3 linked regions of the Daphnia pulex genome follow. The protein of the gene in region 2 purifies or fractionates together with the protein of the main gene of each other region. This does not show direct contact. Links are inferred from orthologs where the notes say so. Each region holds a gene or a part of one and is shown on either strand. Other genes may lie near its edges.

Evidence for each region.
Region 1: the proteins of acidic fibroblast growth factor intracellular-binding protein B-like (region 2) and C2 domain-containing protein 5-like purify together in Homo sapiens (affinity purification with mass spectrometry; 3 studies listed by BioGRID and IntAct, counting the BioPlex papers as one, with this or other methods). This does not show direct contact. The link is inferred for Daphnia pulex from reciprocal best matches to the Homo sapiens genes FIBP and C2CD5.
Region 3: the proteins of acidic fibroblast growth factor intracellular-binding protein B-like (region 2) and cyclin-dependent-like kinase 5 purify together in Homo sapiens (affinity purification with mass spectrometry; 7 studies listed by BioGRID and IntAct, counting the BioPlex papers as one, with this or other methods). This does not show direct contact. The link is inferred for Daphnia pulex from reciprocal best matches to the Homo sapiens genes FIBP and CDK5.

What each region holds. Positions count from the first base shown.
Region 1 is NC_060019.1:9,641,158-9,645,285, forward strand, and holds the start of C2 domain-containing protein 5-like, read left to right. Parts: upstream 1-1,234; 5' UTR 1,235-1,503; coding exon 1,504-1,680; intron 1,681-1,742; coding exon 1,743-1,920; intron 1,921-1,981; coding exon 1,982-2,125; intron 2,126-2,194; coding exon 2,195-2,411; intron 2,412-2,489; coding exon 2,490-2,636; intron 2,637-2,850; coding exon 2,851-3,806; intron 3,807-3,871; coding exon 3,872-4,075; intron 4,076-4,128. Other genes in the region: L-lactate dehydrogenase-like, read left to right, coding at 8-125, 187-310, 383-547. UniProt on the Homo sapiens protein: Required for insulin-stimulated glucose transport and glucose transporter SLC2A4/GLUT4 translocation from intracellular glucose storage vesicle (GSV) to the plasma membrane (PM) in adipocytes.
Region 2 is NC_060018.1:28,008-31,780, forward strand, and holds acidic fibroblast growth factor intracellular-binding protein B-like, read left to right. Parts: upstream 1-1,242; 5' UTR 1,243-1,361; coding exon 1,362-1,419; intron 1,420-1,483; coding exon 1,484-1,715; intron 1,716-1,785; coding exon 1,786-1,867; intron 1,868-1,958; coding exon 1,959-1,987; intron 1,988-2,052; coding exon 2,053-2,169; intron 2,170-2,252; coding exon 2,253-2,541; intron 2,542-2,610; coding exon 2,611-2,840; intron 2,841-2,938; coding exon 2,939-3,017; 3' UTR 3,018-3,201; downstream 3,202-3,773. UniProt on the Homo sapiens protein: May be involved in mitogenic function of FGF1. May mediate with IER2 FGF-signaling in the establishment of laterality in the embryo.
Region 3 is NC_060026.1:15,917,802-15,921,757, forward strand, and holds cyclin-dependent-like kinase 5, read left to right. Parts: upstream 1-1,451; 5' UTR 1,452-1,594; coding exon 1,595-1,631; intron 1,632-1,755; coding exon 1,756-1,829; intron 1,830-1,903; coding exon 1,904-1,918; intron 1,919-1,987; coding exon 1,988-2,050; intron 2,051-2,122; coding exon 2,123-2,253; intron 2,254-2,315; coding exon 2,316-2,403; intron 2,404-2,512; coding exon 2,513-2,599; intron 2,600-2,663; coding exon 2,664-2,748; intron 2,749-2,807; coding exon 2,808-2,885; intron 2,886-2,945; coding exon 2,946-3,079; intron 3,080-3,140; coding exon 3,141-3,239; 3' UTR 3,240-3,445; downstream 3,446-3,956. Other genes in the region: sperm-associated antigen 7 homolog, read right to left, coding at 3,489-3,634, 3,692-3,791, 3,850-3,956. UniProt on the Homo sapiens protein: Proline-directed serine/threonine-protein kinase essential for neuronal cell cycle arrest and differentiation and may be involved in apoptotic cell death in neuronal diseases by triggering abortive cell cycle re-entry. Interacts with D1 and D3-type G1 cyclins.

The sequences.
Region 1 (4,128 bases), on a different chromosome or scaffold from region 2:
TTTTCAGTTCCTGTTTGGTCTGGTGTTAACGTTGCTGGTGTTCGACTGAGGGATCTCAATCCGGCCGCTGGAACTGATGCAGATACTGAAAATTGGGGTCAAATTCACACACAAGTCGTCCAGAGGTTGCTATTTAACAAAACAATCATATTTAATTGTGTGAGTAATTTTAGTGTTCACTTTTAGTGCATATGAAATTATCCGACTAAAGGGTTACACCTCATGGGCAATTGGTTTGAGTGTTTCTATTCTCACAAAAGCCATTTTGAAAAATTCCCGCAACGTCTTCGCGGTCTCAACTTTTGTCCAGGTACTTAATTTTATTACTATTGTGGTAAGGGTTACGCTATACAGCTATTTCTATAATGATTTATTCAAATAGGGAATCCATGGAGTTGAACAACCCGTTTTTCTGTCCGTCCCATGTGTGGTTGGTGAAAACGGCATTACTGATGTCATCCAACAAACTTTAACTGAAGGTGAACGCAGTCAACTTCAAAAATCAGCTGCCACTTTGAATGAAGTTCAAATAAATTTGGTATTATAAAATATGTACTATAAAAATGTTTAAAATTCGAAATGTCACTAAATCAAATTCGAATTCTGCCCCCCTCACTGAACATAATTAGTATATGTTATGTCCTAGTAAAATACACGATTGTCAAGTCGAATACTGTTTGTAAAACTTTCAAATTACTAAGTTGATCAAATTTACAGCAAAAACTTATAGTCCTATTCATTTTTTTATGATAGCAACAATATATATTTGTGCTTGGAAGTTTTAGCTTAGAAGCGCACGCGAAAAGGAATCTTTTGTCAAGACAAACAAATTTTTGCTAAGTTTTTAAAAGATACTTTAAAAATTTCGCGACTGCAGGATTATTATTCCAAGGGTAAAAAGCCACAAAAGGTTCTTTTAAAATTTAAAATTCGATTTCGTTGGTATTAAGGCACATCCGCACATGTCATACACATGCTTGACAATTTTTTATATTCGAGCAAGTTTAATATTATGTAAAACCTTTATTAGTGCATATCTATTAAAGAATAAGAAAACGAAATTCCACGTAAATTTCACGTGACTGCCTTTACATTATAGTGCATCACAGTAATAAAATCATATGGTCTTTCTATTTGAATTTTAATGATAAGCTTGGCCTTTTCCCGCAGTGTCTTTTTACATTCCGCAGCCCTTTTTCCCACGTTTTCCCTTATTACGCTTCTTCGTTTTATCAATGTTTTCATAGCAAAAGCAGACGACAATTTTCAGTTTTTTTTTTTAGGGTCTGAGGCTCTGAGCAAAGGATGGTTTGATGACTTGATATTGAACATTTAATAAAGTGTTAGCTATTATAGAACGAGAGACTTATGGCTCCACATTGACATTTTTTAAGTTACAATGTCTATTTAGTCAAACAGATTTATTCAACTTATTGTAAAAAGCTATTGGTGAATTTTGTAGCTCAACGTGAATCGGTGAATCCAATAGCAAATCAATAAATCATGCCGGGAAAAGTTAAAGTGAAAATTCTTGCTGGAAGGAACCTTCCTGTAATGGATCGTTCAAGTGACACTACGGACGCTTATGTTGAGATAAAATTAGGTAGCATAACCCAAAAGACAGATGTTTTTCGAAAATCTCTAAATCCTCAATGGAATTCAGAATGGTTTATCTTTGAGGTAAATATTTGATGTTTCAACACATTTTGAATATCAGGCTAAAGAATCATTTTCTTTCTTAGGTTGACGATGCAGAACTTCAAGATGAACCACTTCAAATAAGATTAATGGATTACGATACATACTCTGCAAATGATGCCATAGGAAAAGTATACTTAGATTTAAATCCACTTCTGGTCACACCTGGCATTTCAGGTATCAGAGGTATCAGATCGGAAGCTTGCTCTGTCCCGAGTTCAGGTATGAATTTTGTTATGCTCATGCAGTTTTGTTGATTGATTCAACTATTCTTTTTCAACAGGAGGGCATGTATTATCAGGTTGGCTTCCAGTGTATGATACAATGCATGGAATGAGAGGGGAAGTGTCAGTCATAGTCAAGGTTGAATTATTTTCTGATGTTAACAAGTTTCGGCAAAGTTCATGTGGTGTTCAATTTTTCAGTAGTAAGCAATTTTTCTTTGTAGATTTACAAGGAGTTTTTTTTTAAATTTAACATTCACTTCTCTTTGCAGCTCCGTCAACACCTCACGGTTTTAAAATTCAGTCTATTCAAGGGTTTGTTAAAGAACTTGTTGTTAATGATGACCCAGAATATCAATGGATAGACAAAATTCGGACACCAAGAGCGTCAAATGAAGCCAGACAAACATTGTTCTCTCAACTTTCGGGGGAAGTACGTCGTAAAATCGGATTAAAAGTATTAGAGCTTGGCGGAAATGCTGTAGTTGGGTAAGTTAATGTGTCTTCTATTTCTCCTTGCCAAAATTCCCAGGTATATTCATCGATCGTAATTACTTTACAATCTAGATACCAGCAAATGTTTGATCTTGAAGGAGTAACTGGGCTAGTGGTACGCGGGATAGGGACAGCCGTAACACTAGCTAGGTGCCATTTCGATGGAAACGCAGCAGTTACCTGGTTCAAAGAACAGCACCATGGAAGTAGTGGCCGAGAGTAAGTTACACCTTGGCCCAAATAACCTCACAAATTAATTCCACTTTCACGCTAATCTATAATTTCAATATCTCTTCCATTCAATCGGGTATTCTCCTCTTCATTTTGGTTTGGACAATCGTCAATGATTTGCACACCTATTGCTATGTAACTAACTTTGTGTGATCGCTTTCGTCGATTTGTGGTTTGTCTTCCTCACAATCATCACCGATAGAAATGATAGCACTCGGCCTCGTTTGCATCAGAGCGAACCCCTTCTCCAGTTAGACGATCACGAATGCTTACCTACGAAAACTCCTGTGCCACGCTTTTATAGGCTACAGTCATTACCAATGCATGAAGACACCAACCAATTGCCAATCAAACTTCAGGCTTCCATTTCCGTAGCTAAAGTGCTCGAAGGCTGTGTTGGCATTGTGAAGACCCCCGCGAAACGAAAGCTCTCTCTCAGCAATTTGTTTGCCAAATCTGGGATTAAAGGGAAAGTTGGTAGACCGCGCGAAACTGCGTCGCCAAATACTTTGTCAGTTCCATGTGATGACGATTCCACCAAAAGTAGTCCTCAATCCCGAATTCGCTCACGCTCGCTTATTTGCGAGATGTCACCTATCCTGGAAAATCACGGAGACTCCGTTTCTGATTCACAAGAGAACAGTCCTATTAGCAAAACACTTTTACCTGTCATTAACCATTCACCAGATATCAACGAATTCAAATTCAAGAAAGACTTGCGAGGGTGGACTGACGACGACTTAGCCTTGTCAGGATCCCAGGAATCGTGCTCCTTTTTTCGTGTTAATGCTCCTGAAGACAGCTGCTCAAGCAGCTCTGAAATCTCTCTGAATTATTTCCCTTTAAAACAGGAGCAACAAAACGAACGCTCGATTGAAACACCGTTGTCATTACTACGATTAGTCGATAGCAAAGACGATCTGTCTTCTAACGTAGCGTTGAATGCAACCACTCACCCACCTTTGCCTGAAATGCAACCTATTTGTCCCTACCCAACTAGATCTCCTCGTTGTGCAGCCATTTCGCCAGTCGATGTCGTTAAACCATTACATAGTACTGCTGCCATCACCACTCCAGTGGTCGTACATGGAATGACTCCTTCACGACCTTCTCCCTGTCGACGCTCTTCAGAATCTGAAATCAACACAACTCCAAAAGGTTTAGAGATAATCATTTGAATTTCATCCGTAAAAATTCTTGAATTCAATTAAACTCCTTCGCAGCTTCCAGTTTATCCGATAGCTTCGGTTCATCAGGGGGAGGCGTAATTGCATCCAACTGTCGTCCGACGACTCACCGTCAGACATCAGTTCCTGCTCCACCTACTAGCGCATATCTCAATACTGATGTTACTAGGAACCTTGAAGTCCTCGAATATCCTTTCTTGACAATGAAGACCTACCCCCCTGGATTCATCGTACATATTGGTAATTTTGATTGGAATTTTTCATCATCGCAGATAAAGAAAGTGTAATTCTGT
Region 2 (3,773 bases):
TAAGTTCGTTTTGTATTGCGGCAATTGGATTACCTTTAAGTAAATAAAGTAAGTGGTATTTTTACTTTACCTATCTAATTCACTTTGCTTTACTTAATCTAGATAAGTAACTAAGCGGGAATAAGCCCGAGCATACCGTAAAAATATAGTTGTTTTTGGTTATAGTATAGTAAAGTATAATGAAGTATGGTTTGATGCTTTATTATACTTTATTATACCCACCCAAAACCCCTGTATTTCCTCGCTACGCTCGGGCTCATTCCCGCTTAGTTACTTTTCTAGATTAAGTAAAGTAAAGTGAATTAGATAAGTAAAGTAAAGTAAGAAGTTGGTCGGGTAAAATAGACTTTTACCCAAGTGTGATCCAAAAAAATGTTCTCCATCCGGTCTATGACAAAACAAAATGGAATAAGGTTGGGCAATAAGTTAATGTAATGGCAGTTATGGCTGGTAAGGAGGGTTTATTTCGCTTACTGAAATCAGAAATTTTTAACTTACAAGTCCATGTTGAATCTGAGCCAGAGATTCAAGCAACAGTTTATTCTATCATGCACCTTTTGCTAATTGGTAGGCCTATACACAATTTTTTTCAAAAAGGTTTAATTTGCAAGTAACAAGTTGTTAACGTGGAGTCGGAACGTGTTCTTTCAATTCTAAAGTGTTGTGATATCGTCTGCTCTAGACCTCTAGTTGCCAGATGGAAAAAAAAATTTGTTGAGATTTGAGAAAAATGAGAATAATAAGTTTTTTTTTCTTTAAAATCCTTATGGTCACGCACCACGAGGAAAAAGTCAGGAAAAAGCCGTAAAACTCGAAAAATTTCAATTCACAATTCTCTATTAAAGAGGTTCGTCTGCTTTAAATAAAGAAAGTCTGGCAACATCTAATTTGCATATTTATTTCAAATTTACTTTTATAAAATATTAAATGTAATATTTTTACAGAGAACACTGTATGAATCTGGCTAACTTAATTTTTAGTTTCTTGACATGAATCCAGTTAACCAGTAGGAGGAAAAATAATTCACATGACCTAGAATAAAGGTCTAGTAAATGAGTAATAACTGGAAGGATATAAATTTGATTTCCCAGTAAAACTCATGTGCTTGAATCACGTAATCAGTAATCGCGAATTAGTCCGGATTCCGGAAATGAAATTTTGTTTTGCTTAAATTTCAAAATTTGATCCGCCTAGCGGCGATATCGAACACCGTCTATGAAAGTATCGATCGTAGCTTTGCCTTTGGCTATCTGACCGTAGTCTGCTTGCTATTCATTGTTGTTTTCAGATTGTTGTTTCTATTTGTCTGTCTAAATCCCTTTACGGCACAATTTTCATTGAGCACTTCCGATTACGTTAACATGGAATGCAGCGTTGACGTATTTGTAGGCAATTCCACTATAATCGACCCTGAAATATGTAGCAACTAAAAACATTATCAAATTGAAAATCCCAACCATATAATTGGATATATTATTTCTAGATCAACTCTGGGTCGACGGCAATTCCTCTCACGAGGCCGCCGACATTTTACAGCAAAGAGGAATACTTCAGCAATGGGGGGCTAATATGGATCTCCTGATGTCAGATGTACTAGACCATTATCGAACATTTCACATGCTGGAAAAGACACTTCACACTCCACTCAAATTAACTGCCGCTGGAGAGTGGACATTTCAAATGGAGGCAGACACTCAGCAATTGCTCATTGAAAAGTATATCTAGATGGTTAGTCAATTCCATTATCAATTTCACTTGCAATTTATTCTCATTTTTAATCATTAGATATTACGAATTGGATGATGTAGTTGTAAGGGAGGTCCTGGGGAAGAAGCTCTCCTCAAGACATCGGAAAGATTTGGATGAGGTGAGCCATTAAAAATGATAAGAGAAGGTTGAAAGCCTGTTCATTGCGGTGTGTGTGGTAAAATGTAATGTGATTTCTAAATGTTTCCTAGGTTTCTGAAAAAACAGCAATATCTCTAAGGTACAACAAGTTAATAGGTCAGTACCTCTGTTATTAAATCATCGTCAATGGATTGATTTCCTCAGGTCTTGCAGGAGGCAATTTGACAATGTCAAGCGTATCCACAAGCTTGTCGAAGAGATGCCAGGTCACATAGTGCACAATATCCAACATAACTTTCTTCTCTCTGCTGAACTGTCGAAGTAAGTTTCCCCGTCTGTCTTTAGACCGTTGTCGTTATTAAAATTGCATGATTCATCGGACGAAATGCCTGTCGTTTTTCTAGGAAATATGCTGCAGTGGTCTTTGTGGCCGTCAACCGTTTCGAAACCAACAAAAGAAAACTTCAGTACTTGAATTTTGGAGATTTCTACCATTGTGCTCATCAGATGATCGTTCACTGGTCCTCGACTGCTTCGTGTCACGCGACTTTAGTTAGGAATCAGTTGGAAACGGAAACGGAAATCGAAACGGATCTCGATGTCGACAGGGGATTCCTGCACGACCTGAGAGAGGTGCGCATACTCCTCGACAAAGAAAAAGAGCACAAGCATCTCGTTTGCTCTCAGCTCAAGGTGATAATCTCCCGTGTTCATTCGGTTTCATGTCAGGACGTGTGAAACTAACCATTCCATCCGCTTAAGGGACGGCTGACGGATAAGATTTACGCCGACATGGAATCCTCTTTCAAGACGCATTCACGTTCACTCGTGTCCTTGGCCGGCAATCTCAATAGATCGAGAGAACTGCGATCCCTCTTTGTGGACTTGGTGGAGCGCTGCGTCGAGCCTCTGAGGCAGGCCAGGTGGACATCAAGGGATTTGAGACTGTTCCTCGACTACTACACACCAGCCGGAGTTCAATTGTTTAAAAGGTAAAGTATCTTGTTACGAATGTTTGGTCAGAATGTCAAATGTAATTTTTTTTCGTTTAACTCATTCTTTCCACTATTTTTGCTGCCCTGATGCACAGCGATTCGGCGACAGCTCTCGTATGGGAGCGCTACATGAAAGTCATTTCCAGCTGCCTAGTCAAAATCTACCACAACTAGTTCGTGTGTCGAATCAGATGCTTTAATACCTTCATTACCTACCGTCTCCTGCGACCCGGAAAATGCCCCTTGTTATTTCCACTCCGTTTTATCGTGTGTCCACACGGGCAATTCTGAAGCAGGTGTTATACGTACGAGAATTATCCGCTTAACTCTGTAAATAAACTTTTGGAAATTGTCAAAACATCCGTATAGATAGATAGAAACTTGTATTGCTTGTAACTGACTAGGTCGGGTATTATATACAAATGTGAAACGATTCGTAAAGCAAAGTGTATGTGTGTGGGAGTACGGAAAGTTTGAAACAAAAAAATCGGGGAACGAGAGTGTTAAATAACCGAGTTGGTGTAATAATGTTAATTAGTTTGATCGATAAGGGGCGAGGTTTTTCTTTTTACTAAACATACCCGTCAAATGTAATTTGTTATTATTATGTTTAACTTTTTTTTTGTGCGGGTTACTCTTTTTTTTTAATATGTAAATTTGCGCTCGTCTATCGTTGTTGCGACATGTCCTCCGCTTCTTGACGAGGCGGGAACAAGTGCTCTGGCGAGATTTAAAAAAACAAACGAAAAAGGGAATCATGTTTTTTCTTTTTGCTTTCGTTTTGGCAAGGGAAATCGTTTTAACGTGTCGATTTGCAAAGGAATTGCGCAGTGTGTCTTTCCACTGGGCATTCGACTTGGTGATCATCAAGTCAAAGACAGAGGAGGAGGAGGACAACGAGTTCGTCGCTGAGGTAAAAAAAAAATTTGT
Region 3 (3,956 bases), on a different chromosome or scaffold from region 2:
TCCTCGATGACATAAACGATGAAACTAAAATTGTGTACCTCAGCTGATAAAACGTGAATTTCGGGCGAAACACCAACAGTGACGTAGTTGTCCAATACAGAAATTATTGACGGAAGAAACTTTGCCATTTTGATTTTCATAGAATGGAAAATTAATATTAAAATATTTAGATTGCAGGACGTGGCAGATGGTGAATCTTGAATTATCATGGATTTTAACACATCGCTGGCGAGTGAATCGTATTGGTCATCCTAAAAAATTGGTTATAAATCTTTTGCCACTTTAAATAACTCGAGAAAATAGCTAACTTGATTCCACTGAGACGGATCATCTGGATCCAAGTTCTGAGCTTTGAGGCAGATGTCGAGGCACTTGTACAAATTTAACTTGTCATCGAATTCAACGTTTTTCTTTAAAGCACTAAATATGACTGCAAACCATCCTCGTTGGAGCAGAGATTTTGGGTTGAGCTGTGCAAATGACAAGGGCATTATTAGCAACACTAGCCGAAATTGGAAGACATTTCTTTTATCCATACACTTAATATATGATGAAGACACTCTAGGCCTTTCTTCTGGTAATCTGGTTCCCAATCATCGAATAACACTAAAGAAACAGGCACAGCAAAATCTACCGATTCATCAATAGAAGGCAGCTAAAAAAATGAATTGTGAAAGTTTAAGGTTTAATAACTTTCATTTGAATTTTTGATACCATAGTATTGCTGATAATCCAAACAAAACAACTGACTGCTGCAGGGTTTTCTTTGATTTGGTTTTTCCCTAGCTTCGGTTTAAGCTGTTGAAGAGTGGAATAAGCAACACCGTCCATGGCAAATATATCCTGAATATTTTGGAGGTGAAGCTTGGAGAGCAAAAGGTTAAGGAGATCTTTCACATTATCAACTGATTTCTGAGTACTCCATTCAGAACAAATACTGTGCTCACCGCACAGGATGAGTAATGACAATAAAGCTAGATTGTTTTTGGTCCACTCTTCTTTTGTTACGGAGGTACCATTCAGAACTAGCTTTTGTAATTCACATACGGCGTCATCGACTTTACTTGACCATTCACGTTGAAATCCTTTTTCGAAGTGGCTTCGTTCGTTGATAACTTTGACGGGGGGAAGGAGAACTTTCCTAGCTATTTCAGCTACTTCACCCATCGCACACATTGATTTTGCAAAATGTAAAATTTAAAATCCTTGAAGAAGAAAAAACGGCTTAAGGATGCCAATCGTCCAACACAGTTCATAAACATTAGATTTAGAAGAATTTTAATTGAACTTTTGTAACTTTTTTATTTAATTAGTGCAAAAGTAACGAAACTGAGAACAAATTTGAACTGACCACTTGAAAAGAAAAAGTGACAACATGAGCAGACGTAATATTGCAGACGAAAATCTTTCGCCATCTAGCGTTGGAAATTGCAAGTCTCAATAGAAACTGTCAAGATTGATCCTGCCGGCGTCTGCCATAACAATAAAAAAACAAAAACAAAAACGCTTTGTGAGTGCGACTGCGAGAGTGTTTTAATTTTGTTTTAAGTTGATTAAGAGTTTCCCGAGAATCAACGGGATTTATTGTTCTATAATGCAGAAGTATGAAAAATTAGAAAAAATTGGCGAAGGTAATTTTCCCGTACATGTTTGTTTTCCAACCGACACTGAGGATTAAAAGCATACAGACGTTTCACATGTGTGTAGTGAAATTAGCAAGGAATTAATCTCCATCACTTTCTTACATTTCAATAGGAACATATGGTACTGTGTTTAAGGCCAAAAATAGAGAAAATCAGGAAATTGTGGCTCTGAAACGTGTCAGGCTTGTAAGTATATAACACATTTCTTTATATATGATTATTTTAAACTAACCATTTTTATTTGAAAAATTCAATAATAGGATGATGATGATGAGGTATGTCACTTTATATTATTGATCAATCACACCAAGCACTTTTCATTTTATTTCATTTTTCTGGCATAGGGGGTTCCATCAAGTGCCTTAAGAGAAATATGCTTATTGAAAGAACTTAAGCACCGTAATATAGTGAGAGTTTTTCTTTCATTAGCACAATTCTGTACACTTTCTATACTAAGCACATTTCTAAATAACCAACAGGTTCGATTACATGATGTCCTCCACAGTGATACAAAGTTAACCCTAGTATTTGAGCACTGTGACCAGGATTTGAAGAAATACTTTGATAGCTTGAATGGGGAGATAGACAGTGAGCAAGTCCAATCACTGATGTAAGACATCCATTTTGTGCACAAAAAATTTGCTGTTAATTAATTTTCTCCTTTGTCTGAAGGTATCAACTTTTAAGAGGTCTTGCATTCTGCCACAGTAAAAATGTTTTGCACAGAGATCTCAAACCTCAAAACTTGTTGATTAATAAGGTAATGTTTAAGTTTTGGGGCATTTTTAGCTTACCCAGATGATATTAACCCTTTTTTTTAGGATGAGTATTTAAAAATTTGCGTTCACTTACAATCAATTTATTTTTAGAACGGTGAGCTGAAGCTTGCAGATTTCGGCTTAGCAAGAGCATTTGGTATTCCTGTCCGTTGTTATTCGGCTGAGGTTGTTACACTGGTAATATACATAATAATTTGAATTCTAAAAATTACAAACATATCTAACAATTTGTAAAAATCAGTGGTATAGACCTCCCGATGTTTTATTTGGTGCCAAGCTGTATACTACTTCCATTGATATGTGGTCTGCGGGCTGCATATTTGCTGGTAACGTTTGCTGTCCTATTCAATTTCGTGATCAGTATTACATCTCTCATTCTTTTTAGAACTTGCCAACGCGGGGCGACCCCTTTTTCCTGGAAGCGATATTGATGACCAACTCAAACGGATATTCAAGTTACTTGGTACGGAATTCTAAAGTGGTTTACGGAGGGCAATTATTTAATAATTAAATTAATCGATAGGAACTCCAAACGAAGAAGTTTGGCCTGGTATATCTCAACTGCCAGACTACAAGCCATTACCCATCTATCAACCAACAAGTAGCTTCGCGCAAGTTGTTCCAAAAATGAGTCCCAAAGGCAGAGATTTACTTCAGGTATTGACTATAATTTTGATATTTCTCAACTTTTTTCTGACTTCCCTTTTGAATTCCATAGAAATTATTACTGTGCAATCCTGCTCTTCGGATTTCTGCAGATGACGCGATGGCGCATTACTATTTTACCGATTTACCTTCAAGTATAAAACATCTATAAGTTATTTTGATTTTTAATTGTAAGACTTAAATTTTGTATCCCCAAACAAAATGATTCTAGAATATTTTTTATATCGAGCAAATTCCTTTTTTATCGATTCTTTTTTTCTTTACCGTGAACACATTGTACTTGCGCGTACATTTTAGAGGATTGTGGTTAGTCAAATTGAATTGCAGTCCAATACAATACATAATTCGAATGGTAAACTAATATTCACATGCGGATGTTGGAGAAATCCTCTTGGTGAAGTTACTCCGTCTTCTGCCTTTTTTTGGCACGAATGTCGGCCAATGTTTGCTCGATGGAGCGTTGATCTTTTTTGTTCTCGGATGAAACAAAACCGTATTTTCGATTTACCTGAGTAACTTTAACAGCATCTTTTACTGCTTCTTTACCTAGTAGATGTCAAAATTTAGTACGTAGGGCGTTTTGTTGTGCTTAATTTAAATTACCGATTAACCGATCGTATTTGTTAACATATTGAGCTGACGATACTGTACTGTCACTTTTTGAAGCTGGTTGCTCGTCCTCCTCATCTTCAGGTTCGGGATTCTACAAAAGATCAATTCCTTATTAGTTCACTCAGAATAATAATAGCTTTGAAATATACCTGTTTGACTGAATCTGGATTCCATGGTATACCCTTTCTGTAAGCATTTAATTCATCTGGGCCTGGAGTAAATTCTTTTTTATAGACAACCACATGTCTGTCAACAT